Cricetulus griseus: one gene and its partners. The protein of the gene in region 1 interacts with the protein of each later gene in a pairwise test. Links are inferred from orthologs where the notes say so. Each region holds a gene or a part of one and is shown in the gene's direction. Other genes may lie near its edges.

Evidence for each region.
Region 2: the proteins of Creb3 (region 1) and B-lymphocyte antigen CD20 interact in a two-hybrid assay, tested with the Homo sapiens proteins (2 studies listed by BioGRID and IntAct). The two-hybrid records come from large-scale screens. The link is inferred for Cricetulus griseus from reciprocal best matches to the Homo sapiens genes CREB3 and MS4A1.
Region 3: the proteins of Creb3 (region 1) and Hmox1 interact in a two-hybrid assay, tested with the Homo sapiens proteins (2 studies listed by BioGRID and IntAct). The two-hybrid records come from large-scale screens. The link is inferred for Cricetulus griseus from reciprocal best matches to the Homo sapiens genes CREB3 and HMOX1.
Region 4: the proteins of Creb3 (region 1) and FXYD domain-containing ion transport regulator 3 interact in a two-hybrid assay, tested with the Homo sapiens proteins (2 studies listed by BioGRID and IntAct). The two-hybrid records come from large-scale screens. The link is inferred for Cricetulus griseus from reciprocal best matches to the Homo sapiens genes CREB3 and FXYD3.
Region 5: the proteins of Creb3 (region 1) and Fam3a interact in a two-hybrid assay, tested with the Homo sapiens proteins (2 studies listed by BioGRID and IntAct). The two-hybrid records come from large-scale screens. The link is inferred for Cricetulus griseus from reciprocal best matches to the Homo sapiens genes CREB3 and FAM3A.
Region 6: the proteins of Creb3 (region 1) and Vkorc1 interact in a two-hybrid assay, tested with the Homo sapiens proteins (2 studies listed by BioGRID and IntAct). The two-hybrid records come from large-scale screens. The link is inferred for Cricetulus griseus from reciprocal best matches to the Homo sapiens genes CREB3 and VKORC1.
Region 7: the proteins of Creb3 (region 1) and Tecr interact in a two-hybrid assay, tested with the Homo sapiens proteins (2 studies listed by BioGRID and IntAct). The two-hybrid records come from large-scale screens. The link is inferred for Cricetulus griseus from reciprocal best matches to the Homo sapiens genes CREB3 and TECR.

Annotation. Positions count from the first base shown.
Region 1 is NC_048595.1:99,950,819-99,953,571, reverse strand, and holds the end of Creb3 (cyclic AMP-responsive element-binding protein 3), read left to right. Parts: intron 1-65; coding exon 66-172; intron 173-265; coding exon 266-334; intron 335-1,384; coding exon 1,385-1,469; intron 1,470-1,556; coding exon 1,557-1,641; intron 1,642-1,725; coding exon 1,726-2,054; 3' UTR 2,055-2,253; downstream 2,254-2,753. Other genes in the region: Gba2 (non-lysosomal glucosylceramidase), read right to left, coding at 2,453-2,731. UniProt on the Homo sapiens protein: Endoplasmic reticulum (ER)-bound sequence-specific transcription factor that directly binds DNA and activates transcription. Plays a role in the unfolded protein response (UPR), promoting cell survival versus ER stress-induced apoptotic cell death.
Region 2 is NC_048596.1:49,205,625-49,209,666, forward strand, and holds the end of B-lymphocyte antigen CD20, read left to right. Parts: intron 1-667; coding exon 668-904; intron 905-1,988; coding exon 1,989-2,090; intron 2,091-3,326; coding exon 3,327-3,542; downstream 3,543-4,042. UniProt on the Homo sapiens protein: B-lymphocyte-specific membrane protein that plays a role in the regulation of cellular calcium influx necessary for the development, differentiation, and activation of B-lymphocytes.
Region 3 is NC_048596.1:150,866,393-150,869,030, forward strand, and holds the end of Hmox1 (heme oxygenase 1), read left to right. Parts: intron 1-358; coding exon 359-458; intron 459-1,446; coding exon 1,447-1,580; 3' UTR 1,581-2,138; downstream 2,139-2,638.
Region 4 is NC_048602.1:4,720,095-4,724,049, forward strand, and holds the start of FXYD domain-containing ion transport regulator 3, read left to right. Parts: upstream 1-1,155; coding exon 1,156-1,195; intron 1,196-2,590; coding exon 2,591-2,623; intron 2,624-2,710; coding exon 2,711-2,734; intron 2,735-3,481; coding exon 3,482-3,556; intron 3,557-3,647; coding exon 3,648-3,684; intron 3,685-3,892; exon of another isoform or gene 3,893-3,943; coding exon 3,944-3,955. UniProt on the Homo sapiens protein: Associates with and regulates the activity of the sodium/potassium-transporting ATPase (NKA) which transports Na(+) out of the cell and K(+) into the cell.
Region 5 is NC_048604.1:1,323,706-1,327,973, forward strand, and holds the start of Fam3a (protein FAM3A), read left to right. Parts: upstream 1-1,468; 5' UTR 1,469-1,998; coding exon 1,999-2,011; exon of another isoform or gene 2,012-2,079; intron 2,080-3,586; coding exon 3,587-3,700; intron 3,701-4,199; coding exon 4,200-4,223; intron 4,224-4,268. UniProt on the Homo sapiens protein: May act as a defensin against invading fungal microorganisms.
Region 6 is NC_048596.1:72,881,105-72,885,023, forward strand, and holds Vkorc1 (vitamin K epoxide reductase complex subunit 1 precursor), read left to right. Parts: upstream 1-1,227; 5' UTR 1,228-1,229; coding exon 1,230-1,402; intron 1,403-2,187; coding exon 2,188-2,297; intron 2,298-3,215; coding exon 3,216-3,418; 3' UTR 3,419-3,419; downstream 3,420-3,919.
Region 7 is NC_048596.1:160,825,530-160,829,029, forward strand, and holds part of Tecr (very-long-chain enoyl-CoA reductase), read left to right. Parts: intron 1-1,634; coding exon 1,635-1,685; intron 1,686-2,187; coding exon 2,188-2,239; intron 2,240-2,571; coding exon of another isoform or gene 2,572-2,574; coding exon 2,575-2,619; intron 2,620-2,695; coding exon 2,696-2,799; intron 2,800-2,875; coding exon 2,876-2,991; intron 2,992-3,075; coding exon 3,076-3,181; intron 3,182-3,256; coding exon 3,257-3,329; intron 3,330-3,416; coding exon 3,417-3,460; intron 3,461-3,500. UniProt on the Homo sapiens protein: Involved in both the production of very long-chain fatty acids for sphingolipid synthesis and the degradation of the sphingosine moiety in sphingolipids through the sphingosine 1-phosphate metabolic pathway.

The DNA of each region.
Region 1 (2,753 bases):
ATATATATGTATGGGTATATAAAAAATAATACACCTTGGATGACCTTTTTCCCATCTTCTCTTAGGTGGAGGAACAGGTTCTCAAACGGATACGGAGAAAGATTCGAAACAAGAGAGCTGCTCAAGAAAGCCGCAAGAAGAAGAAGGTGTATGTGGGAGGGTTGGAGAGCAGGTAGGAAAGGAAGAGCATGGGGAACAAGTTGGAAGCCTTAAGCTTTTGAAGGGAAGACACAGGCAATATTTTGATATCCATGTTATCCTCCAGGGTCTTGAAATACACAGCCCAGAACCAGGAGCTGCAGAACAAAATACGAATTCTAGAGGAACAGAATCTGTAAGCAACCATTTATAGTCATTAATTTTTAAAATCTTTTTAATGATTTTTTACTTTTATGTGCATTGGTGTTTTGACAGCATGTATGTCTGTGTGTTTGTCGGGTTCTCTGGAACTGGAGTTACAGACAGTTGTGAGCCGCCATGTGGGTGCTGGGAAATGAACCTGTGTCCTCTGCAAGAGCAGTCAGTGCTCTTAACCACTGAACTATCTCTCCAGTCCTGTCATTAGTTTAATGCTGTCTCACTCTTTCCACTATTCCACCCTTGACTTCTAACTGGATTGCTCCTAAATTCAAAAATCTGGTGGTTGGCCTTTGCCAGGTCTCAAGCTCAGAGTAATGGGGAATAAATTTCCAAGTAGCTAAGAAGAAATTAAGTACCAAGACAAAGAGGAAGTAAGAAAAGACTGAATGGAGGGGCTGGAGAGATGGCTCAGAGGTTAAGAGCACTGACTGCTCTTCTAGAGGTTCTGAGTTCAATTCCCAGCAACCACAAGGTGGCCCACAACCATCTATTATGAGATCTGGTGCCCTCTTCTGGTGTGCAGATATACACGGAAGCAGAATGCTGTATACATAATAAATAAATAAAATCTTAAAAAAAAAAAAAAGAAAAAGACTGAATGGAGGTAGTCAACATCAGAGCAGTTGCAATGGGGGTAGGAGGGGCTGAGTGGGGAAAGCATTCTAGGTGGAGAGAAGACAGTGTTTGTGTTTGCGTTGGCCCAGAAAGTAGAGAACACAGTACCTGGTGGGGATTACATGCATAGTTGATCACGTATTAAGAGAATTCTGGAAGGTATTGGCAAAGGAGCTTTAGTCAAGGCAGGGAAGTTTTTATTTTTTGTTTCAATAAGGAACCACAGGTCCACAAAGAAGTCATTTGGGGGGGGAGGGGGGATGGCAAGGAAGTTAAGAGATTGGATCCACTGCACCAGTGGAGAGAGTGGCTTAAATGGGGGTGGGGAGGAGGGTGGTAGGGTGAGTTTCATTGTGACTCAGTGCTAGACCAGGGCATGCTCACCACTGTTTCCTCTCTCTTCCCTTAGGTCCCTTCTAGATCAACTGAAGAAACTTCAGGCCATGGTTATTGAGATAGCAAACAAAACCAGCAGCGGCAGCACGTGTGTTCTGGTGAGGAGAATGGGACGGCAGATCATTTTCTTGGCAGAGATGGGGTGTATGACCCAGAGCCCTTCATCTCTTTTTTCCGTGTTCTAGGTCCTACTGTTTTCTTTCTGCCTTCTTCTTGTACCTGCTATGTACTCCTCTGACACAAGGGGGAGTGTGCCAGCTGAGTATGTTGGTAAGAGGCTGAGGACCTTTAAGGCATGGGCTGTGGTAAAGGGTGGCTTCTGTCTTGTCACTTGACAAGGCTTTGTCTCTTCAGTGTTGCACCGTCAGCTTCGTGCCCTTCCCAGTGAGGACTGTCATCAGGAGAAGCTGCCTGCCCAGCGGTCAAAGTCACTGAAGGACAGCACAAGCCAGCTGCTGGGTAGCTCAGAGCAGATGCTCCAGGCCTCCAGCAACGCTTCCTGCCTCCTACACTGCATGCCTCAGGCAGAGCCACCCCTGCACTGGACATTCCTTGATCTTTCCTCAGAGACCCCCTTCTCAGGCCCCAACCATCCCCTGAAGGCAAATCTTTCAAAGAAAGGGGAGTGGCTGCCTACCCACAGCCCTTCTTCTGTTGTCTTGCTGGGCAGGCATTCATGTTAGATTTGAGATGCGGGGTACCCTCAGCCTGAGGATTCCTGTCAGTATTCAAATAAAAAGGAATGGGGGAAAGAGCTGGCCTCTGCTCCTGTGCCCTATTAGGATGCCTGGGAGCTCAAACACACCATACTTAACAGTTTTATGGTCTTTTATTTATACTCATGTATATCTGTTGTTCCATGAATAGACTTGGAGAAATTTACTGGCCTTGAATATTTCATCCACGGAAGGAACGGGGAGGGTAAGAAATAAATAAGTGGTTCCTTGGCCCCTTTTTACTGGCACAGTTGGGTAGCAAGAAGGGAAGGGGCTTGATTGTCCTAGTGGCTCAGGGCTGCAGGAGTGGTGGGAGGGAGGAGGAAAGACCAGTGTATTGGCTGGGCTTCCACAGTTCAGGGGGATCACTCTGGGCTTAGGTTTGTCCAAGATTTCTTTGGTTCATGTTCAGGCTCTGTGCTTAGTCTTGTGCCCTGTGTGACAACTGGCCTTTTGCCCTTTTTATGCTGCTGCTGTTGCAGGGCCAGCTGCATGGCCCAGATGCTCAGCGGCCTCATGTAGGCTAGTGAGCGGAACACTTGCTGCTGGCAGTATGCCTCTGGGGTCTGGAAAGCCAGGCCCAGGCGTTCCCATACAGTGCGGTAACAGCCCTCAGCTGTCCGGAAACCTTCCCGAGTCAGACCCTGTGGGGAGAGGTAGAAGTCA
Region 2 (4,042 bases), on another chromosome or scaffold:
GTGCTTCATAAAATAATCAATAATACCACAGCATCGTGGTACTTGGCATATGATACATCAAACTTTTATCACCAGTGTAAGGACAGAACGGTCACAACCATATCCTCTGGCCCATGTATCAAGAGACATCTGAGCTCATGGACCTGGGGGAAGACAGTTGAGTGGGGGTACATTGTCAGTAGGGAGAGGTAGAGTTATTATGGCTGATTCATTTTCATTGGCTAGTACAAACCTAGAAGTTTCTATCTATATCTACACCAAAGATCTTTAGACACATTATAAAATCCTTCTTATCCCTCTGCCCACTGCCTTTTTATGCAAAGAGATAGTAATCTGGATGCTCACTAAATCTCTAAAGCATGCTGGGAGGGTGGTGATAATAAAAAAGAGTGTAGGTACAACCTGTGGGCAAGGCATCACTGGGATTTTGTTTTATAAATTGACTGGATGGTGATTGCACAAGATGAGAAGACTGGAAAAGGAGGGAGAAGAAAACTAAAAGTTTTGCTTTACGGTGACAAAGAGGCTAAAAACCACAGTGAGAACAAAACTAGAATATAGGTGTGGAGTCTCTCTGAGCCGGGGAGACAGCAGCTGGAATCTCGCATCCTACGTTGTTTTCTGAAGAGAAATCAAATCTAACTAACAAAGGCTGCCTCTGTTTCAGGTCAAAGCCAAAGTGATAATGAACTCTCTGAGCCTCTTTGCTGCCATTTCTGGAATAATTCTTTCAATCATGGACATACTGAACATTACAGTTTCTCATTTCCTAAAAATGGAGCGTCTGATTCTTAGTAAAACCCCCAACCTGTATGTTGATATCTACAACTGTGAACCATCTAATTCCTCAGAGAAAAACTCCCCATCTACACAGTACTGTTACAGCATGCAATCTGTGTTCTTGGTAAGTATGAAAGCGGTGTTCCTCCGGAGAAGAAACGTGCTGTGTTTTATTATGAGCATCCATGCTGGGTCCAGGTAGTCTGTGTCTGCACTTTTCCTGCACTTGGCTTTGGGCAAGAACCCTCCTCATATACTACTTTCCTTTCCCCAGCTGTAAAACAGGGGGAGTAAGACTATGTGTCTCCTTGGATTGATGTAGAAACAAATTAGTTTACATAAGCAAGGCACTTGGAATCATTTGTACCCAAGAGTATACTTGTGACTTGATTATTTCTTCTGAGGAATGGGCTTAGTGTGTAGCCCTGGCTGCTGACTATTTAGCCCAGACTAGCTTCAAACTCACAACAATTCTGCTTCTACCTCCTGAATGCTGGGACTACCGGCATGTGCCACCACACCAAGCTTTATGTGGTCATCGTTCACCTTTGTTAATATCATGGATGACATTAATAATTTTCGATAAAAATATGGAAGAAATTCATAAACTGTTATTAATATGTTTTCTCCCACAGAATTTTTGAATGCAGAGTTTAAAAGGGAAAGGCAATACATCTCCCAAGTATTGTGGAGTTTCCTTGGTGTGATGTCACATATTCTAAAGCTGATACAATTTCTTCTGAGACAGGGTCTCCTGTAATCCAGGCTGGCCTTCACTTTGCTGTGTAGTCAAGAACAACTCTGGACTTCTGGTCTTCTTGCCTCTAACTCCCCTAGTGCTGGGATTACAGGCACATGCTACCATACCTAGTTTACATAGTGGGACTAGAACCCAGGACCTCAAGTATGCTGGGCGAGTACCCTACCATTGAGCTACTGTACCAGACCAAGCTGACAGAATTTAATGTGGAACTCTTTCTTACAAAAATTGATTCTTCAGTTTCCTATTCCCACCTTACTTCCTTGTGTTCAGCCGTTGGGTTGTAAAGATGCTATCTTTTATAGCAGCCATTCCCCCCAGCTCTTCATTTCACTCACCTGAAGAACTGAGCTGAACTGTTGCTCACTGAGTTCCAGTCATAGTCATCACTGTGCACTAAGTCCATCCAGCTGCCGTTACCTCATCTTTACCTCCATTCTGTTTCCAGGGCATTTTGTCAGTGATGCTGATCTCTGCCTTCTTCCAGAAACTTGTGACAGCTGGAGTTGTGGAAAATGACTGGAGAAGAATGTGCTCCAGACCCAAATCTGTAAGTTGCAGTTCCTTGTCCATAACGTCCTTCTTAAAACTTAGTATCTACAAAGAATTGTTTACATAGAATCTAATCTGACAAAAATTCTGAAACTAGGAGCTTCATTTGGAATAAATGGCTTTGCTGTATTTTTTGGAAAACAGAAAACAACAGTAGTGGCAGCAAACGTTTTGAAGTATAAGTAAGTCTATGGTTAGACAGAAGCTACAGTTCCACATGTTGCACAAGTTTGCCTGCCAACCAGCTTTTCCTTCTGGTTGACTCCAGACTCCCGGTCCTGCCCCGTCTTAGTTATTGTTTCATGGCAGTGATAAGACAGCATGGCCAAGGCAACTTATAAAAGAAAGCCTTTATTTGGGGCTGACAGTCCTGAAGATTAGTTAGAGTTCATGACTATTATGGGGAGGAGCATGGTAGCAGGAGGCAGGCATGGCTCTGGGGCAGTAGCTGAGAGCTTATATCTGATCCACAAGCAGGAGTCAAAGAGAGCTAACTGGAATGGCACCAGCCTTTGAAACCTCAGAGCGCAACCCCAGTGACACATCTCCTCCAACAAGGCCATATTTTGACAAGTATTCAAAGTTTTGAGCCTATGGGGGCCATTCTTACTCATCCCTTGATCACATGCCACCCCCATCTTAATCTGTAACATAGGATGACTGAAGACAGGAGGCTGATAAAGTCATTGGTTCTTGGATTTTTCATTTTTCCACTCTCCTCCCATGCTCTTCACCTCATTCCACTTCCAAGACATTAGTATTTCAAAGCATCTCCAAAGCTAGAAAACATGAATGCTCTAATAGTAGCTCCCTTATAAACTACTGTGGAACTCCAGACTATAAGATTTAGTTTATGGATTAGAAGCCATTATGATTACTTCATTATACAGATTGGGAGAGGGTAGAATGAGGGCCTCTTCCCAAGGTTATGATCACCAAAGGCAAATCAGTTCTAGAATCCAAACTCCTCTCTTTTTGGTATTATTTTTCCATGTGGTATGATTATTCTAGGCAAAATGGCAAAGGCCTGAAATCCTTAATGATTACCCCAGACTCGAGATTTAATAAGGAGGTGATTTGATGAGAATTTGTGCATCTAAGTAGCCAATCCTGCTATCTATAGTATATGGTTAACTAAATAAAGAACATGAGAATAAGTTGGCATTTGGATACATGTTGATTGTTGGGAGACGTGTCAAGGGTAAAGGTCAAGAGGCATTTGTTTTTGTTCTAGAATGTAGTTCTGCTGTCAGCTGGAGAAAAAAAAGAACAGACAATTAAAATGAAAGAAGAAATCATTGAGCTAAGTGGAGTATCTTCCCAACCAAAAAACGAAGAAGAAATTGAAATTATTCCAGTGCAAGAAGAAGAAGAAGAAACAGAAATAAATTTTCCTGAACCTCCCCAGGAACAGGAATCCTTGCCAGTGGAAAATGAGATCGCCCCTTAAACTCTCTTTTATAAGCATTATTGTTTAGAGAGCTTCCAAGACACATAGTTACCCCCATTTCTTGGTCTTCCACATGTATTTTCCATGTTTCCACAGTTTATCTTTGCATAGAGAAGCCATATCTAGCTTTCCTTCACATTTAGATGTAGCAATTGTAGCAAACTGTGTTGTCCCCTGCTTGGGAGTCTTACATCTGCAGAAATGCTGCAGAACCCAATTCTCATTCACCTTTTTCTTGGACAGGCATTTTAGTAGAAGTAGTGCTTTTCCCCTGAGTCTTCCATCAGCAACTGCAGCTGCAGGGAAAGACACGTGACTGTTCCATCCAACTCTGAACTCTCTGACTCCTTCCTTATTTACATTTTTAGGGGAGTCCTTTTTGCACTATTGTTTTAAGGAAAGTAGAAAGGAAATGAAAGAGAACAAGACACCTATGTTTTCAGGGGAGCAGACACTGTGGCATGTTCTTCAAGCTTCTGTATCCCATTTGGAAAGCCGTG
Region 3 (2,638 bases), on another chromosome or scaffold:
CATGAGGTAGGTTAAAAATGCATGGGTGTGTGATAGTTTTCTTTTTCTTTCTTTTTTTTTTTTCGAGACAGGGTTTCTCTGTTTAGCTTTGGAGCCTATCCTGGCACTCGCTCTGGAGACCAGGCTGGCCTTGAACTCACAGAGATCCGCCTGCCTCTGCCTCCCTAGTGCTGGGACTAAAGGTGTGTGCCACCAATGCCTGGCTTGTTTTTGTTTTTGTTTTTTTTTTTTTCTTGGGGGGAGATCATTTTCTTAAGTTGTGTCGTTTCTACAATATTTCATAGCATGCTTCCAGCTCTGCCTTCAGCTGGGGCCACCACTGAGTCAAATTAACATGGCAGTATGTCTTATCTTCTAGCTGTTTGAGGAGCTCCAGGAGCTGCTGACACAGGACCACAAGGATCAGAGCCCCTCACAGATGGAGGGCCCTCGCCAGCGGCCTGGTAGCCTGGTGCAAGGTAAAGGTGCCCTCTTGCTTCTGGCTTTTCTTGGCAGGAACATGGCCCAGCTACTGTCTCTGTGATTTCTTTATTCTCCTCTTTTCTGAATGTTTTAAATTAGAAATAGTGTACAGACAAAAGGGCCCAGGGTGACTGGGTGAGCTGTAAGGCCTTCTACCTCAGTTTCCCCACATTGGGAAATCAGATGGTTGGGCTATAGTTGCATTGGCTGAAGTGTACAGAAATCCCTTAGAAGTCACTGGTGCAGAGATCCTTTATTTAGGACAGTCCCCCCAAGCATTTTCTGAGGCAGTCAGACTAGGTTACCCAGGCTGGCCTCAAACCCTAGGATCAAACAATCTTCTTGTCTCAACCTTTTACAAATAGGCAGGATTGTGTTTCTTTTCTTTTTTTTTTTTTTTTTTGGTTTTTCGAGACAGGGTTTCTCTGTGTAGCTTTGGAGCCTATCCTGGTACTCCCTCTGTAGACCAGGCTAGCCTCGAACTCACAGAGACCCGCCTGCCTCTGCCTCCCAAATGCTGGGATTAAACACGTGCCTTCCCTGAGCCTGTCACTTCTGGGACAGTGTGGCACAGGGAGTGGGTGATGAGAGTATGGGCGGCAGGACAGGTTATGTGAAGCTGTCTTGCTCAATGCCATCCTAACCCACTTTATGCCTAAGGCTCTCCCAACTGGGAGAGGTAATAATGGCCCTGTTACTAGTATTGTTTCTAGTGGGCTGAAATGTGGCCAGTTGATGGAGTTAGCTACTTGGTTGAGTCAGGGGACTTTCCTTGATAGAAATGACTGGGCATGAAGGATGAACAGCTTGAGAATAAGTGAGCTCCTAGCTTTGAAGATGGACACTCTATGCTTTAGCAGAATTGTGGTCTTGGCCTGGAACTGTCCTGGAGACAGACACACTAAGTATCCTTTTACTCTGTGTACTTTAATGTCATATAGCCAGGGCTGCATGTGTTTGACCTTTTCTATCTTTCTCTTTCAGACTCTACACCTGCAGAGACATCCAGAGGGAAGCCCCAGATCAGCACTAGCTCATCCCAGGCACCACTCCTCCGATGGGTCCTGACTCTTAGCTTTCTGATGGCAACAGTGGCAGTGGGAATTTATGCCATGTAAAGCAAATGTGCTAGCCCCCGGGGGCTGTGAACTCTATCCATGAAGGGCCTTCTCTTCTGTAGGAGAGAATCTTGCCTGGCTGTCTTCTCTTGGGGCTCTAAGAAACTTTTGAGGCTCCTAGACCCCTCCCTGTGCCCTCCTCTCTCTCTGCAATGGAGGGAGATGCTTGACACATTTTTCCCTCACCAAAAGCATATCCAGCCAGTGACCTGAACTTTGAAACCAGCAGCCCCAACTCCTGTAGAGCCCCAAAACCATGGCCTGGCCAGGAGGTGGTGGCACATGCCTTTAATCCCAGCACTTGGGAGGCAGAGGCAGGTGGATCTCTGTGAGTTTGAGGCTAACCTGGTCTATAGAGCGAGTGCCAGGATATGCTCCAAAGCTACACAGAGAAACCCTGTCTCAAAACCAAAAAAGAAAAAGAAAAAAACAAAACATGGCCTGAAGTAGCAGCTGTTCTGAGCCCAGTGCCCTTTGTTGTTGGCATCCGTGTTAACTGGCCGTGACTGTTTTCCTCTGGTGTCATGGCCATGTTGATATCAGTGTGCAAAGATGTTGGGTCTTGTGTTTCTTTTTATTATTTCCCGCATCTCACCTGAATGGTGGTATTTTGTTGTGTATGTGTGTGTGTGTTTCTAACAAAGTTGGGCTGTCTTTTGAGGGGTGGGTGGGAAAGAGGTATTTAATAGTTGTAACCTTGGTCTCCAACTTTTGTGTGAAATAATAAATAACATTATCTAACAGTCAATAGAAGTATCTTTTTATTTTATTTATTATGTATACAACATTCTGCTTCCATGTATATCTGCACACCAGAAGAGGGCACCAGGTCTCATAACGGATGGTTGTGAGCCACCATGTGGTTGCTGGGAATTGAACTCAGGACCTCTGGAACAGCAGTCAGTGCTCTTAACCTCTGAGCCATCTCTCCAGCCCCACTAGAAGTATCTTAATGTCTCTGTTGTCCATGAAACGGGCCCTACTCTTTTGTCTCTTCAGTGCTTGGCCAGGGGGCAGGTGGTGGTGGCATTGGTAGCTGCAATCTTGGACTGTGCTTG
Region 4 (3,955 bases), on another chromosome or scaffold:
CCAGCATGTGAGGAATGGGGACAAGTGTTAGCACTCACTATCTTGTGTGTGTGTGGTGTGTGTGTGTGTGTGTGTGTGTGTGTGTGTGTGTGTGTGTGTACATGAGCTCACGACAGGTGAGCAGGGCAAGTGGGGGAGGTGCTCAGAGAGAAGGAGCTGACTAGAGGCCTCTAGGGTAACGGAAAGGCAGACTATTAGGCCAGCGCTGTATGGAAGGGGCCCTGTGCTGAGTGATTCTCACTGGGGAACTGTGGAGCGTTTGCTGCTGAGAGAAGCCCAACAGGGCCAAGAGCTGGGATAATACGGAGCGAGCGCAGAGGCCTAGTCAAGGGTGAAGGCTAGGGTAGGGGGCAAAGATTGGACTTGAGAGAGTGCCCAGTGGGGTCTGAAGGGACAGACCCAAGGGTGGGGCAGGAGACAGGGTAAGACTAAAGCCAGGATCCCCCTCTGCACACGCCCCATCAACTTGGCATCATTTCTGCCATACACCCACCCAGGAGCCCAGGGAATCTGCTCAGGCCCCAGAGAGAAGCCGGCAGCGTGTTTTGGGCAGGCTCCAAGCTGTCTGTGGGAGCCACTCCCGGAACCCGGGCCTCTTGCCACCTGGCTCCTGACACCCTACTCCCCAAAACACCCCGAGGCCCTCACAGTTCTGAGTTATGAACAGCTAGTGAGGGACGAGGCTTTGTTGAAACCCTGCCTTCTGGACCAAGTGATCTTGGCCATCAGCTTTCATCTCTTAGAGCCTCAGTTTCCCCATCATACGGATAGGGGTGACAAGCTGGATGTGGAGGTGGGCACCTCTAACCTTAGCATTTGGAGAGCTGAGGCAGGAGGATGGCAAATTCAAGGCCGGCCCGGACGTAGCAAAACACCACTCCACCTCTTCTCTCCAAGAACAGATTCATTATGACAATGACAATGGCTGTTCCTTTGTGGAGCGTGAGTTCTCACCCAGCCCCCACTTGACTTTGGGGCTCCTTATCTCCCAGCCTGTGAGTGAGCACCAGTCACTACCAGCCTTCCTGTCTGGACCTTGGGCTGTGCTCCTGGTGAACAGCGGGGTGGGATAGAGAAGCAGAGGTGCGGGGCCTTGCGTCCTGGTCACCCCGCTAAAGTTCTGTTCTCTGGACTCCTCTAGATCAACGCTGCAACATGCAAGAGGTCGCTCTGAGCCTGTTGGTCCTCCTAGCAGGTGGGTATCAGGCCACCAAGCTGCCCTTTCCCTTGGACCTCTCAGCTGTGTGGTGACAAGCTGTGTGTGTGTGTGTGTGTGTGTGTGTGTGTGTGTGTGTGTGTACGTATGCATACATACATGCTCGCAGCCTCGTGCATGTGGGGAGATGCCATTTAATTTTTGATGACAGCAAGCCAAAGGCTCGGCCCGGTACTCTTGTGTGCCACGGCCTCCCTACATGGCCTTCCCAGTTGTGCCTAGGACCCTAGCAGCAATGTAGCAGGTAACTGGAATGCCTCGAGCCTCAGTTTCCCCTCCTCTGAAAACACAGAGAACAGCACATAGTCATAGGGCCTTCGTGAGGCTTCAATGCGTTAATGTTTGAACAACAATATGGCAGGGCCTGGGTGGAGTGGGCCCCAGGCATTCATGCCTCAAATATAATTAAGCATTGTTTTTCTCCCTTTAGCAGAACTCAGGCCCGGGACGAAGCTGAACAAGCTTCAGCCAGAATTTAATCCTTGGCCCTTGCTTCTGTCGTGTTTCCTCCTTTCCCCCCTCGGCCTCTTTTGTGTGTGCATGACTATGTGCGTTCATTATGTGTGCAGGTGTGCTTATGTCTGTGTGCCTGGGGTGTGGCAGCCAGGGGATGGCTTTTGGCATCATTTCTGAGGAGCTAGCCACTTTTTTAAAAATATTATTTTATGCATATGTGAGTTTTGCCGTTTGAGTGCTTGGTGACTGTGGAAGCCAGAAGAGGGTGTCAGGTCCCCTGGAACCAGGGTTACAGATGTTTGGGAGTCATCATGTGGGTGCTGGGAACTGAACTCGGGTCTTCTGCAAGAGCAATCAGTCGTCTTAACCACTGGGCCATCTCTCTCCACCACCACCCCTGCTTTTCCGCTTTTTACCTTACCATTCTTTGGACACAAGTTTCATTCTGTTTGGGAAAGGAATGTAAGAATGAATAGAAGTTGCCAACGGTGCGTTATTTCAAAGAGGTCAGCGGCCCTGCTAACTGTGGGGTGTGGCTGTGAGGGCTGTGGGCTGTGGGCATTGCTGGCGTGGAGAAAGCTGTCCTGGGAACAGAGACCATCTGCTACCTGGAAGGGCAGAGCCTCTGGAAACATTCACTCAAACAGTCCCAAAATGTACCCGGAGTAGGATCGGTTTCCGGTGGCAAAATGCTGGCATGACTCACAGGTGAGGAGTGGGTGAGTGAGCCCACATCTCCATGAAGGCGCGTGTCCAGGTGGGACTAGCCAGCAGCTAGATCCTGTACACTTTGGAGGTGGGGCTGCTCCCCCACCTCCACATGGAACATTTTCCCTCAGGCAACAAACCTCCATGGATCCTGCTGAGGGCCCTTCTAGGGCCACCATAGTCATCGCTTGTCCTTACTTGCCCCCACAGGCCTGCCTTCTCTGGATGCCAATGACCCCAAAGGTGAGTCAGAGCCCACCCCTCCACCCCCCTCACCCTAGACCCTGCTGGCGCCTCGGATTCATGGGTGTGTCCTGTCTCTCTTTGCAGATAAGGACAGCCCTTTCTACTATGGTAAGAACCGTGTCCCCTCCTCTCTTCTTCTCAGTCCCACACATTATTTTGTGCCAAGCGGCCCACACAAGGGTGACTGACAGTTCACAGTGACCCAGGGACCACGACAGGAGAAGGTGGGAAATGGGTGGTTGAACATCCAGATAGGTTACAGGAATAGCCGTGAGGGGGAATTCAAGACAGACACAGGACTGAGTCCAGTCCACAAGAGGCATTAGGTTTAGACCAAACACCAGAATGCTGGTCATGAAACTTTTCCCAGACAAGGTAGGGAATTCTACCCCACTCTTCTCCACTTCCCCCTGCCGCTTGCCCCCTGCCCTCTCGTTCTCCACGGACCCTCACCCCTGCTCCAGCTATCATCCTCAGATACAGAAGGCAACCGCCGATCTCATGACCTGTGCGCCTGCTGGTTCTTCTGCCTGGACCACTGTCTTCCGTGTGTCTTCAGGGCCACCTCTGCCTCCCTGCAGATCTCCGTTCCAGTGGGACCCTCTCAGAGAGCCCTTGCTTGGTCACTCTCTCTAAAGACCCTCATCTTGACTTCCTGTCTCCACACTGATCTTTTCCCTTCAGATGGCCTCTCTGTCCCTGAATGGACATGGAATATCTTGTTTACTTGGTTAGGAACGGCAATGTGCGCACTACTGGGCTGGGGTTTTGCTTTTCCCTTTCACTGCTCTCAAGTTAGATAGACTGGGTGGGGGACATAGGCTGTCTTTGACATTTTCTCTGCTTCCCTCTCAGATTGGTACAACCTCCGAGTCGGCGGGCTCATCTGTGCAGGGATTCTCTGTGCCGTGGGCATCATAGTCCTTTTGAGTGAGTACAGGAGGGGCCGTTGGCGGGGGGGTGGGGGGTGAACAGGGCAGGGACTTGCGTTCCTCCCTCTGACCACATCCGTCTCCAACAGGTGGAAGGTGCAAATGCAAGTTCAGCCAGAAGCCCAGGTGAGACGGGTTCTGGGCGAGACGGGTTCTGGGCACGCCCAAAAGGGCTAAGCCTTGTGCAAAGAGAGCACAGGCCTGGGGGCTCTGCCCTGAGGTCTTCTGGGCTTGGCTTCATGCAAACTATCCTAAGAAGGCTTTGGTCCCTAGCTTTGTACAAACCTACAGTGGAAAACCAGCCAAGAAACCGTATAGCTAGGCAAGCTGAGACTTGAGGACAAATGAGGGATTTATTTGTATATTATCACTTCTATTTTTCTAGTCACCGTCCAGG
Region 5 (4,268 bases), on another chromosome or scaffold:
AACAATTTTTTTAAAGATAGGTTTTCATGCACTTCAGGCTGACCACAAACTCACTTTTAGCTGATATTGGCCTTCAATTTCTGATCCTCCTGCCTCTGTCTCCCAAATGCTGGGATTACAGACATAAACTAGCACACCTGACTCCATTACCACCATTTTTAAAAAATGCTTGACACTGAGTTGGGCGTTGGTGGCACACGCCTTTAATCCCAGCACTCAGGAGGCAGAGGCAGGTGGATCTCTGTGAGTTCGAGACCAGCCTGGTCTACAAGACCTAGTTCCAGGACAGCCTCCAAAGCCACAGAGAAACCCTGTCTCGAAAACAACAACAAATGATTGACACTGAATTAGTTAGTTAGTATGCATACAGTGTTCTGCCTACATGTATATGCTTGCAGGCCAGAAGAGGATACCAGATCTCATTACAGATGATTGTGAGACACTATTGCTGGGAATTAAACTCAGGACATCTGAAAAATAGCTAGTGCTCTTAACCGCTGAGCCATCTCTATCCCACCATTTTTTTTTTTGAGACAAGGTCTAAGGAATCTCAGTCTATCCTCAAACTTGATAAAGGGCCGAGGATGCCTTTAAACTCTTGATACTCCTGCCTCCACCTCCCAGGTAGCAAGATTACAGGTGTACCAAAATTGAAAATGCTATGTTCTAACCAAAACAGTGCTTCTATAAACTTTTTCTATATTTTGGAGCATTACCTAAAAGTGGTGGAGTTCCTGTAAGTGGGATCATTGGGTCAAAGGACAGGAATGCTGTTTTACTTCTGTCCAGCTGCTGCCTGAGGAGACAGATGATTCCAGCTGAACGAACTGTCTCAGCTGCCCTGGCAGTGTAGGTGGTCGAGACAGAAAGCTCAAGCAAGAGGAACGAGGGTTACATTCCAGACATCCCACACTGAGTGATACATAAAATAGAAAAAAAAAAAGACTCCCTGGGGAAAAAATCAGAGCAGAAAGAAAGCAACCAAAGGGCCACTCTCTGGGACTCAGGCTTTGCTTTACCTCCACATGTGCTTCTGGACTTTCCGTGTTCTTAAAAAACACATGCTAACCTAATGTCATTATCTACGTCCCCAGATCCATTCTCTTACCAGCCATGAGAGCTCTGATCTCAAGTCTCAAGCAGAGCTTCGGCTCACCAATTGTATAAATAGAAGATCTCCCGCCAAACAGAGCGTGTGGAGGCAGCGGGGAAGCTGGCTGTGGTGGTTTACACCTGTAATCCCAGCATGAACTATAGGGTGTGATCCGATCTCAAAAAAAAGTATAGGAGATTCATCTGGCAGCAATGACTCAGGCTCTTTCCAGGAAGCTAGGTGGCTCAGCTTGAGTACAAGCTGAAGGGAAATAGCCTCTCTAGGCACCTCCCACCCAGCCTCTGGAGAAGAGGGAGGAGGCGGGTCTGAAGGCGGAGCCTGCGTGGGGACCTGCGGCCCCACAGCGCAGCCTGTGGGCTTATGGCGGAGCGGCGCCTGTGGGCTGTGACCCTCCCTGGGCCGCCATTGTCGTGCTGGCCAAGCTTCTCTGCGTGACTCGTTTGCTTCACCTCGCCCGCAAATCGAGACCACTGGAAAATCCCTGATCCAATCTGCGTCCTTCTACACCCAGGCAGCGTCATTGGCCTGCCGGGTCTCTGCCGGCAGCCTCAACAGGACCGACCCGATCCCCGGGCCTAGCACGGGAGGGGCCCGAGTCAGGGAGAACAATTGCTACGTTCCAGTCCTGGAGGCTTCTGTTAGCCAGACTGAGAGCCGCGACGGGTTTCCAAAGCCCTGCTGGCTAGGAAGTGCTTCTCCCAGTGCTCACGAGGAACTGAGCCTGGTCTGGTGTCTGGAGGAACAAGTTGTAGCACCGATCGTGCCCAGCACAGACTTGTCCCTACCCCACCACCCAACCTACTCTCCTGCTTCATTCCTCTCAGAGCCCACGGTCCCCAAACAGTGCACCTGCCGGAGGTCCCAACCCAGTGGGAGAAGTGGACATGAGGTTGGCAGGTGGGTGGCTTCCACAGCGAACGGAAGAGAGTCCAGACGTCATAGTGGTTGTGTCAGGAGGGGCCCAGGTAGTCACTGGTTTGTTATTTATTAATGGATGACTGTGCACAAACACTTATTTTATGAGCAAATTCTTTCACCTATGAAGATTTCAGCTTCCCAAACTATAAGTTAAGGATTAATATATAGTCACTTACACCCAACTCAAGTAACAGGCCAGTTGCGTTTTGGAAAATGACTTGTGAGAAAGAGGTTCCAAAGAGTCTAGTGTCTGGGTGGGGAGGGGTGGAGAGTAGAGCAGAGAGGCGTGGCTGCTGTCAGCTGTACAACTAAGATACCTTGTGGGGATGAAAATGGTTCGTGGATCAGACTGATTGGGGTAAGAGTACAATTCAAGAACTGATAAGGTAGCAACTTCATAGATAAGGGCTGGTAAGGGCTATAAGGAACTGACAGGGAGGATGTGGGTTCAAGATTGATCAGGACTAGAGCCAGAAAATAAGGTGTCATTGCTGCATGGTGTTTAACTTGATAATTGTGGTAGATGAAATCTCCCATAAAGAGAGTATGCAGACAGGAGAAGGCAGCCTGGAAAAGACTAGCTTTTGAGGAAAGAGTAATGGAAGATGACATAACCAAAAAAGAGAAAGTCCCAAAGACTCAGGTCAGGAGACTGTGCTAAAAGCTAGCAGTGAAGTGTTTGCATCAGGATGGCTAGGGTAGCCCACCCAGATGTCAACAAAGAGCAGGCAGGCAATCAGAAATGTGATATCATGAAAGTCATGGGTGGTCTGGTTTGGAAGGTCATTTGTTTGCTGTTGTGGTGGCAAGACTACATTGGATGAATTTTGGGAGAGTGGAGGGTGAGATGATAGAAATCACAATGTAGATGACTTTTTTAATGTGTATGCTGGGGATGGAACTCAGGGTCTCATGCATGCTGGACAAATGCTGTACCACAGAGCTATATCCCCAGCAAAGAATAAAGTTTTAAAGAATTTGGTGGGGAAGTGGAAGGTGAGGAGTTAAAGGATGAGATTTTTCTTGCAGGAGCTCTGTTTCATCTTTATGTTATTAAGTTAGGACCTGTTAATATTATGAAAGTGAAATAGAAAGAAGGAGCCTTAACACAACATACCTGAGACAGGAGAGAACTTGATGGATCTTGAAGCGAGCAGAAGTACTGGTCTTCAAAAGTTTAGATCTTTCATCAGAACAAGAGGAAAGGAGAGACAGATGGGTGAGCTGTAAATACACTGACAGTTTCAGAGGCAAGATGCTGAGGTTGGTAATATGGAACCTGTCCAGAGCATGAGTTCTAAAAAGTCCTTCCAAACCTGCTGGGGAAAACCATAGTAACCTCAACATTTAAACTCACTTTCTTCCCTCCACCAGGAGTAATTTCATGTCTCCTACTTGGGTCTGGTGGGTAGCAATGGTTCCTCCACCTTTCGATCCTGCCATCACTTGTTGCCAAATAGAAGGGGAGATCTAGTCATGTGAGGCAGTGGGTTGTTGCTGTGTTTCTTCACTGGTGTCTGAGATGGACCTGCCCTATGTCTGTCCTGCCTGCAGGCCCCCTTCGCATCGTGGCCCTAATCATCACTATGGGTCTCTCCTGGATCCTAGTCACCATCCTCCTGGGTGGTCCTGGTGGTGGCCTTCCTCGAATTCAACAATTCTTCACCAGTGAGTGTGGGGACCCTCTTGACTCACTGTACAGGTGTTCAATATGGGGTGTGATGGCTGGGTTTTCCATCACCTTCTTGACAGGCTTTTTGCTACCTTCAGCCTATCTTCTAACACAAATGCAGCCTTGTCCCTACCAACTGATATGAGAGCAACACACCCTAATTGCAATCCAATATTGAGTGGAAGTTGATAGAGTGAGAGTAAGGAGTGGAAAGGCTTCCACTGAACACTTGATCATCTTGGACTTTCTGCTGGGCTCTGAGATACACAAGGGACTCTACATCTTGTCACTGGTGCCAAGTCACCTAAGCACTATTTACAATTCCAATTCATCCTTTTCCTGGAGCAGGCAATTTTACATCAGGGCATCATTGAGACTTGAGCGGGTAATATGCCAAGTGTAGCCTGACTTGACCCCAAGTCCCTGATCCTGGCTGGTCTGCTGTAGGTTCCTGGAGGCCTCTGTGCTAACAGAAACAACTCTCTGTATCCACAGGCCCAGAGAACTCAGTGACTGCAGGTAAGCTTCCTGTCCCTTCCCTATCCTGTCCTGTGCCAGAACTTC
Region 6 (3,919 bases), on another chromosome or scaffold:
TCAACCCATTATTCTCTATGCTAATCCTAAAACAATAAAAATCCTATGACACGAAAAATAAAATGAATACTTTTTGTATTTGTTTTCCGAGACACAATTTCTCTGTTTTACAGTCCTGACTGTTCTAGAACTCATTTTGCAGATCAGGCTGGCCTCAACACGAATAAAATGAAACACCAGGGTGCCCACTTTGATCCTATGCAGCATTAATTCCCTTTTTGTCTTACAGCCTAACATAGTCACTAGTTCTAAGAATCTTTGGAAACTGACGTTTGTGCCCAGCACATTCTCTGAAATAAAAGTAGTAGATGTGAGAAGGAGCAGCCAAGGAGGAGGGCAGCTGTCAAGGAAGAAATAGGTACTTTAAAGCAGCAATTAATACCACTTGGAGGTCAAACCATTGGGCATAACGTCCTGGTCCTGCTTGCAACTAGGTGTTAGGGGAATGTTCTGGGGTAGCTAGTTTATTATGTGATAAGGAAGACGGGAAATATAAAATCTTCCCAAATCTTACAGTAAGATAGAAAGGTAGAGGGAGCTAGTGAAGGAACTCCATGCAAGTGGGAAGGGTGGAATATCTGTAAAGGTGAAATAATATCAGAGGAAGTGTTGCGTTGATTCAGGCTCGGGTTTTGCCAAGAGGGCACCACAACGGTAGCAAGGTCTGGGAAACCTCCAGCAGTGTGGCCAAGATAACGGGATTTATTGTGAGGGGAAGGGCCCGCTCTGCCCACAAGGGGCGCTGGTGAGGCGCGAGGGACGGCTGGCGGCTACCTGGAAGCTCAGGTCACAGCCCAATGGCATCTGAAACAATTTCAGGGGAAATGCTTCCTGAGTCGCATCACAGTTCTCGCTGGATTCCACTAGTCCGTTAATCTCTAGACATGCCAAATGCATAAAACAGGGCTTGGCATAGAGAACACGCTAAGCACCGTTCTATTAATAGTAGCTTTACCACTCTAGAGACTCCATTCCCCTTGATGTCTTGCAGCCTCTCCGACTACGATTCCCATCATGCCTAGCAGCTGCCGTACCAAGAATTCCCCAGGTCCCTTAATCCAGTTTACCAGCCCAGCATTCCCAGCTGTCGTGCCTAAAAACAACCAATTGGATAGGAGAATGGCAGCCGAGGCGGGTCAACCTTCGGGGCGGAGGGGCGTGGCCATATGAGGCCCCGCCCCCGCCCCGTGGCGGGTCCTTCCCTCCGGCTCCTGGTCTGGGCCGCCAACATGGGCACCACCTGGAGGAGCCCGGGACGCAGGCGCCTGGCACTCTGCCTCGCTGGCTTAGCGCTCTCGCTGTACGCGCTGCACGTGAAGGCGGCGCGCGCCCGAGACGAGGATTACCGCGCTCTCTGCGACGTGGGCACGGCCATCAGCTGTTCACGCGTCTTCTCCTCTCGGTGCGTGCGGAAATGGAAAGCATGGGGTCCTTGAAGGCCAGGTGTACCTGACGGCCAGGTTGCCGGATGATTTTGGAGTCTGGGATCGCAGTGTCCGCAGAACGGACACTTTGAGAGTGGACTGCCCCAGGAGTTTTTGGTGGGTAATCGGACGTGCACAGAGGCTGGACCACTCAGAAGATACTGCTGTTTGAACGCATTCTGAAGATGCCAGTGAATAACTGATTGGAAAACTGGAGGAAGCAGGGCAGACCTCAATGGCACAAAGCGGGAGGAGGTGGTGGAGCATCGCTCTGCTCAGGGACAAAGGTGGCTCACTCTGGTTGTGCTGGAGGACCGGATGTTAGTGGGTGGCGAGGGAACTGTAGCCATGTAAGTCCAAAGCAAATAGATTGTGCTCCAGGTGTCCCAGTGTGGTCACCATAAAGGACGATCAAGATGAAAAAATTAAGAAAAAAACCGTATTTTTGAGTTTGTGGGGTGGCACTGCTTGCCACTATATGCATGTGGAAATCGGAGGTGGTTCCCTCCTATTTTGTGAGTCTTGGGGATTCAACCCAGTTGACAGGCTTGGCAGCAGGCACTTTTATTTGCTGAGCCATCTCACCAGCTCCTGAAGTTACAGATGGTCTGTGATGACAAGCCAGGATAGAGCCAGTGACATACCAGGTCACTGACCTTTGAATTCTTAGTGGGTGGAGAGTGTTGCTAATCGATTTTCCAGGATAAAACCCAAGAGGCACTAGGCTGACCACACTTAACCAGGGTTCTTTCACTCCCACCAGGTGGGGCAAGGGCTTTGGGCTGGTGGAACATGTGCTAGGATCTGACAGCGTCCTCAACCAATCCAACAGCATATTTGGGTGCATCTTCTACACCATACAGCTGTTGTTAGGTGAGTGGCTTTGTCCCTTCATGACCTGTCTTCCCTAATTCAGATCAGCCCCACCCCATGCCTTGGTGACCCAGACAGTTGACAGTCAGCTGCTAATCACTGAGCAACCTGGTCACAAGGAGACAAAACAGGAGGACACCAGCATCCTAGTTAGTTCAGGAAGCCAGAGGCTGAAACCCCCCCCCCCAGGATTTCCCAGCATCTCAATTCTTTTTTCTTTTTATTTGGTTTTGTGTTTTGGTTTGGCTTGGTTTTTCGAGGCAGAGTTTCTCTGTAGCTGTGGAGCCTGTCCTGGAACTTGCTCTGGAGACCAGGCTGCCTGGAACTCACGGAGATCCGCCTGTTTCTGCCTCTCTAGTGCTGGGATTAAAGGCATGTGCCAACAATGCCTAGCTTCTTGGGTTTTTGTTTCTTGTTTTTTTTTTTTTTTTGGAAACAGGGTTTCTCTGTGAAACAGTCCTAGCTGTCCTAAAACTCCCTCTGTAGATCAGGCTGGCCTTGAACTCACAGAGATTTGCCTGCCTCTGCCTCCCTGAGTGCTGGTACTAAATGCGTACTCTACCACACCTAACTGGTTTTTGTTTTTTGGGGTTTTGTTTGAAACAAGGTCTCATGCATTCCAGGTTGACCTTGAACTGCTGAATCTCCTGTCTCCATCTCCCAAGTGCTGAGATTATAGGCATAAACATCCAGTTTAAAAATGCTTTTTGAGGGGACTCCAAAGGTGACTTGTATTTCACCGAATATAGACTTTAGCAGGAGTACTTACTGTTTGGGTCCCAAGGATTATTGAACAGATAAGGCCCATCAGATCCTATCTTAGAGAACTTTTACCAGATGCATGTGCCATCCGTCTGTCACTGGGGAGGCATGGCAGAGTTCTAGATGTACCATTATTGATCCTGTCTTGTTTTACAGGTTGCTTGAGGGGACGCTGGGCCTCTCTCCTACTGGTACTGAGTTCCCTGGTGTCCTTCGCCGGTTCTGTCTACCTGGCCTGGATCCTGTTCTTTGTGCTCTATGACTTCTGCATTGTCTGCATTACCACCTATGCCATCAATGTGGGCTTGATGTTGCTTAATTTCCAGGAGGTGCCAGAACACAAGGCCAAAAGGCCCTGAGGTCCCTCCTCATGCTAAGCTAATGTAACCTGCTTTGCCTTGGCACATGAGCCTTGCCCAAGAGGGTCATGTGTGGGTCCCTAGAAGGCCCTGTTCCCTTCATTCCAGTCCCCCTCCATAACCACACACAGGACAATGACCAGATGTGCCTCTAAGTGCTGTTCCCAAGGGCTGCTTTCTGCTCTTGGCTAAAGAGAATGGTTTTAAACAATAAATTTTCCTAAGTTGGTCGAGTCTGAAGCGTATGTCTGCTGGGGACCCTTTGGGGTGTTGGTCTTTCCCTGTTATTGCCTTCTCTGAAACTGGGATGAGTCAGAATGGAGGGCCTGTCCGGGAGGGTGGCTGCATCATCACCAGCATGTGTCGTCAGCAAAATCTGGCACATTGGCCCCCGCATCCAGGAAACAAGCTAGCGCCTGCTGCCTACGGATCAGACCTCCTGTTGTAGGAGGGCCTGCCACACACCTGGAGGGTGAGCTTGCTTGGAACTTCTTTAAAATT
Region 7 (3,500 bases), on another chromosome or scaffold:
TCTGGTCTGATACTGTCCTTATGTGGTTCAGTCATTTGCCCCTCAGGCCACAGGGTGAAGCTGAGTTTGCAGTGGATAGCAAGTGATTTCTGTACTCTCTCCTGCGCTGTGTCCATGATGTAGGCTCTGGCATAGATGGGCAAGCAGGCCTGGGTGCCACTGGCTGGCATAGAAGCCTTGCTCTGAATCCAGGCCTAGGCCCTGCAGGGCTGCTTCACTGTGTAGGGTCACCTCCATGGGGCCTCCCTACCTAATCACCAGGTAGTCACTTTTGTGGGGCCACAGACACACATACACACATGCACACATGCGCGCACGCGCGCACACACACACACACACACACACACACACACACACACACACACACACACACACACGCACATACTTCCCTTGTGCCAGCACCATGTTGGTTCATGCACATCCTCTCAGGGACCCCTAGCAGGCCAGGCCTGGGGTCAGACCCTAGGACTATCTTAGCCTCTGCTCTTTGGAGCATGCAGATGGCAGTGACCAGCTTCTCTGGCCTGTGATGTCCCCATCCTTGAGAATGAGAAGTCACAGATCCCCATAGGACCCCCAGGCCTCTCCCAGCTACTATGGACAGTGCAGACCATCATGTCAGCAGCCTTCTCTGACCTTCTGGGACAGGTGGCTCAGATCTCCTGGGGCTGTTTTCTTACTCTGTTCCTTTGCACCACTGAGTGGCTCTAGCCTGGGTATTTCTCCTTTGGAGACTGTGGACCCTAGGGGTATCGGCAGGCCTGGGTTGTGTGTTGAAGGCTTTGCAGCGAGACTCATCCATGGGTGAGGTGAGCACATTGATGTTGGCCTGATGTGGTAGACTGCCATGCAGGTGGTTTTGAAGCAGGTGTGGGTGGAACTGTTGAGAATGAGGAGAGGGGTGGAGAACCTTGCTCACTCTTTCCTCTCCATACTTAGAAAAGGAACTGTGCACCGATAACTCTGGAATTTGTCACCTCTCTGGGAACACAAATGCACAAGGGAAATAATCCAGTGTCCCTTACAGCTTAGAAGTGGCAATGCATGATCTGTCTCTCAGATTCTCTAGACAGCTGGCATTTCCCCAGGTCCAGTAACCTGTCAGCCAGAGCTGGGCACTGGGCCTGGGCTAGCCACCCCTGCCACTGGCTGTGTGCTTTTTCCCATCTCTGGGAGATTTTCTTGTCCCTGGCGCTTTTGAGGCCCAGTGTCCACTCAGCTGCTTCTATGAGGGTAGCCCCCAGGGGAGGACTGTGGTGTGGCTCCTTCGGGGGAACTTGGGATGGTTTTATATTTAGCCGGGCCGGGCCGGGCCCTGGTGCCACTCGGGTTACATCTGGCATTGAAGCTGGCTGGGTCTGGTCAGACACAGGCTCCTTTCCAGCACCGAGGCAGAGTTTCATCATGCTGCCCAGCCCAGCTCAGAGCAGCTTTGTGAGGGGAGGTCGGAGGTGGGGGCTGGTGGCTGGCAGTGGGCGCCACAGCCTGGTAGGCAGAGCAGTAGGGCCGACAGTGGCATGGATATCAGCTTGAGCATGGTGGCCAAGGAGGCCCACCAAGGCCTCGATGGTCTTCCCATGCCCGTGCCCCACAAGATAGCCAAGAAGCATAAAAAGGCGGTTCTCTTCTTTGAGGTGGAAATTCTGGATGCGAAGACGAGGGAGAAGCTGTGCTTCCTGGACAAGGTAGGACTGTGACCCTGGTGGTGAAGTTGTAGGGCTGTGCAGACATTGGTGGCCCCCTTGTCCTTCAGAGGGCACACAAGGGGTATTGCCTTCATCTAGAGCAGCAGTTCTCAAACTGTGGTCTCCACCCCTGTGGGGCTGCATATCAGATGCTTCTATTGTGATTCATAACAGTAGCAAAATTACAGATGTGAAATAGCAAGGAAATAATTTTTTGCTCGGGGTCACCACAACACAAGGAACTTTATTAAAGGATCACAGCATTAGGAAGGTTGAGAACCACTGAGCTAGAACGTGTAATCGTGACCCCTGCATAGGGCTGGGAGCTGGCTGCCTGGTAGGGGAAGGGATAAGGCAGCCTGGAAGGACCCTGTGTCTGTGAAGGAGGTGGAAGACAGATACACCCTGCTGAAGCCAGCTGGCGTGATCCTGACCGCCTGTGCCTGGCACCCCTGTCCCAGATCTGGGGCTCCTTTGGGACTGATAGTCTGTTTTCTCTCAGGTGGAGCCTCAGGCCACCATTGCTGAAATCAAGAATCTCTTCACCAAGACGCGTGAGTGCAGGCCCTACACTTCTATCCCCACTCCTGTCACCCCTCTGGATGAGAGACCTGGGCTTCCTTAGGGACTTGTAGAGAGGGCCTGTCAGCACACTGGAGCAGGGAATGGGGCCCCTCTGACTGGGCAGGCTGCCCCCGTGTGGCCACCTGCAGGAATGCTCTTGCGTTATTCAAAGGACAAAATCTGTAGCTGTTTGGGTGTGTTCTTGCATAGGGTGGGAAGAGCCGGGGGTCCCAGAATTCTGGGAACCTTGAGAGGCAGGCTGGGTTACGATGGGCAGGCTGAACCCAGCCAGACTGGGTGCTGCAACCTCACCTTCTCCTAGCAGACCCGCAGTGGTACCCTGCCCGCCAGTCCCTCCGCTTGGACCCCAGTGAGTACAGCCTTTCCCTTGGGCTCTTGGGGTCAGAAACCCAGGGCAGCATCTGAATACTGACTGATTTCTGTAGAGGGAAAGTCCCTGAAAGATGAAGATGTGTTGCAGAAGCTTCCTGTGGGCACCACAGCCACACTCTTCTTCCGGGACCTGGGGGCACAGATCAGCTGGGTGACGGTAAGCCCTGACCCCTTCCCTGGTCTCTGCCTTCAGCCACCCTGGGGTTACTCACCTTGTCTCTGGGCACTCCCAGGTCTTCCTGACTGAGTATGCTGGGCCCCTTTTCATCTACTTGCTCTTCTACTTCCGGGTACCCTTCATTTATGGCCACAAATACGACTTCACGTCCAGTCGGCACACAGTGGTGCAGTGAGTGGGGCCCACAGGAGAGTGGGAGGGGGCGGGGCGGGTGGAGGGCTGGAGCAACCCCAGCTGAATCAGCTGCCCCACCAGCCTCGCTTGCATCTGCCACTCATCCCACTACGTCAAGCGTCTGCTGGAGACCCTCTTCGTGCACCGCTTCTCTCACGGAACCATGCCCTTGCGAAACATCTTCAAAGTGAGCATCCTTATTCTTTCTGCTCTGCCCAGCAGCACCCGCCCTCCCTAGGCTCACTCATCTGCTCTCTTTCAGAACTGCACCTACTACTGGGGCTTTGCTGCATGGATGGCCTATTACATCAACCACCCTCTCTACACACCCCCTAGTAAGTGGGCCCAGACAGTGCCCTCATCCCGTGACCCCCATCACCAACCTTCTTCTTATGGGGCCCTTCTTTTTGCCTTTTCTGCAGCCTACGGAGCCCAGCAGGTTAAGTTGGCGCTGACCATCTTTGTGGTAAAGAGGCTGGGGTGGCAACCAAGTGTGGTGAGGTGAG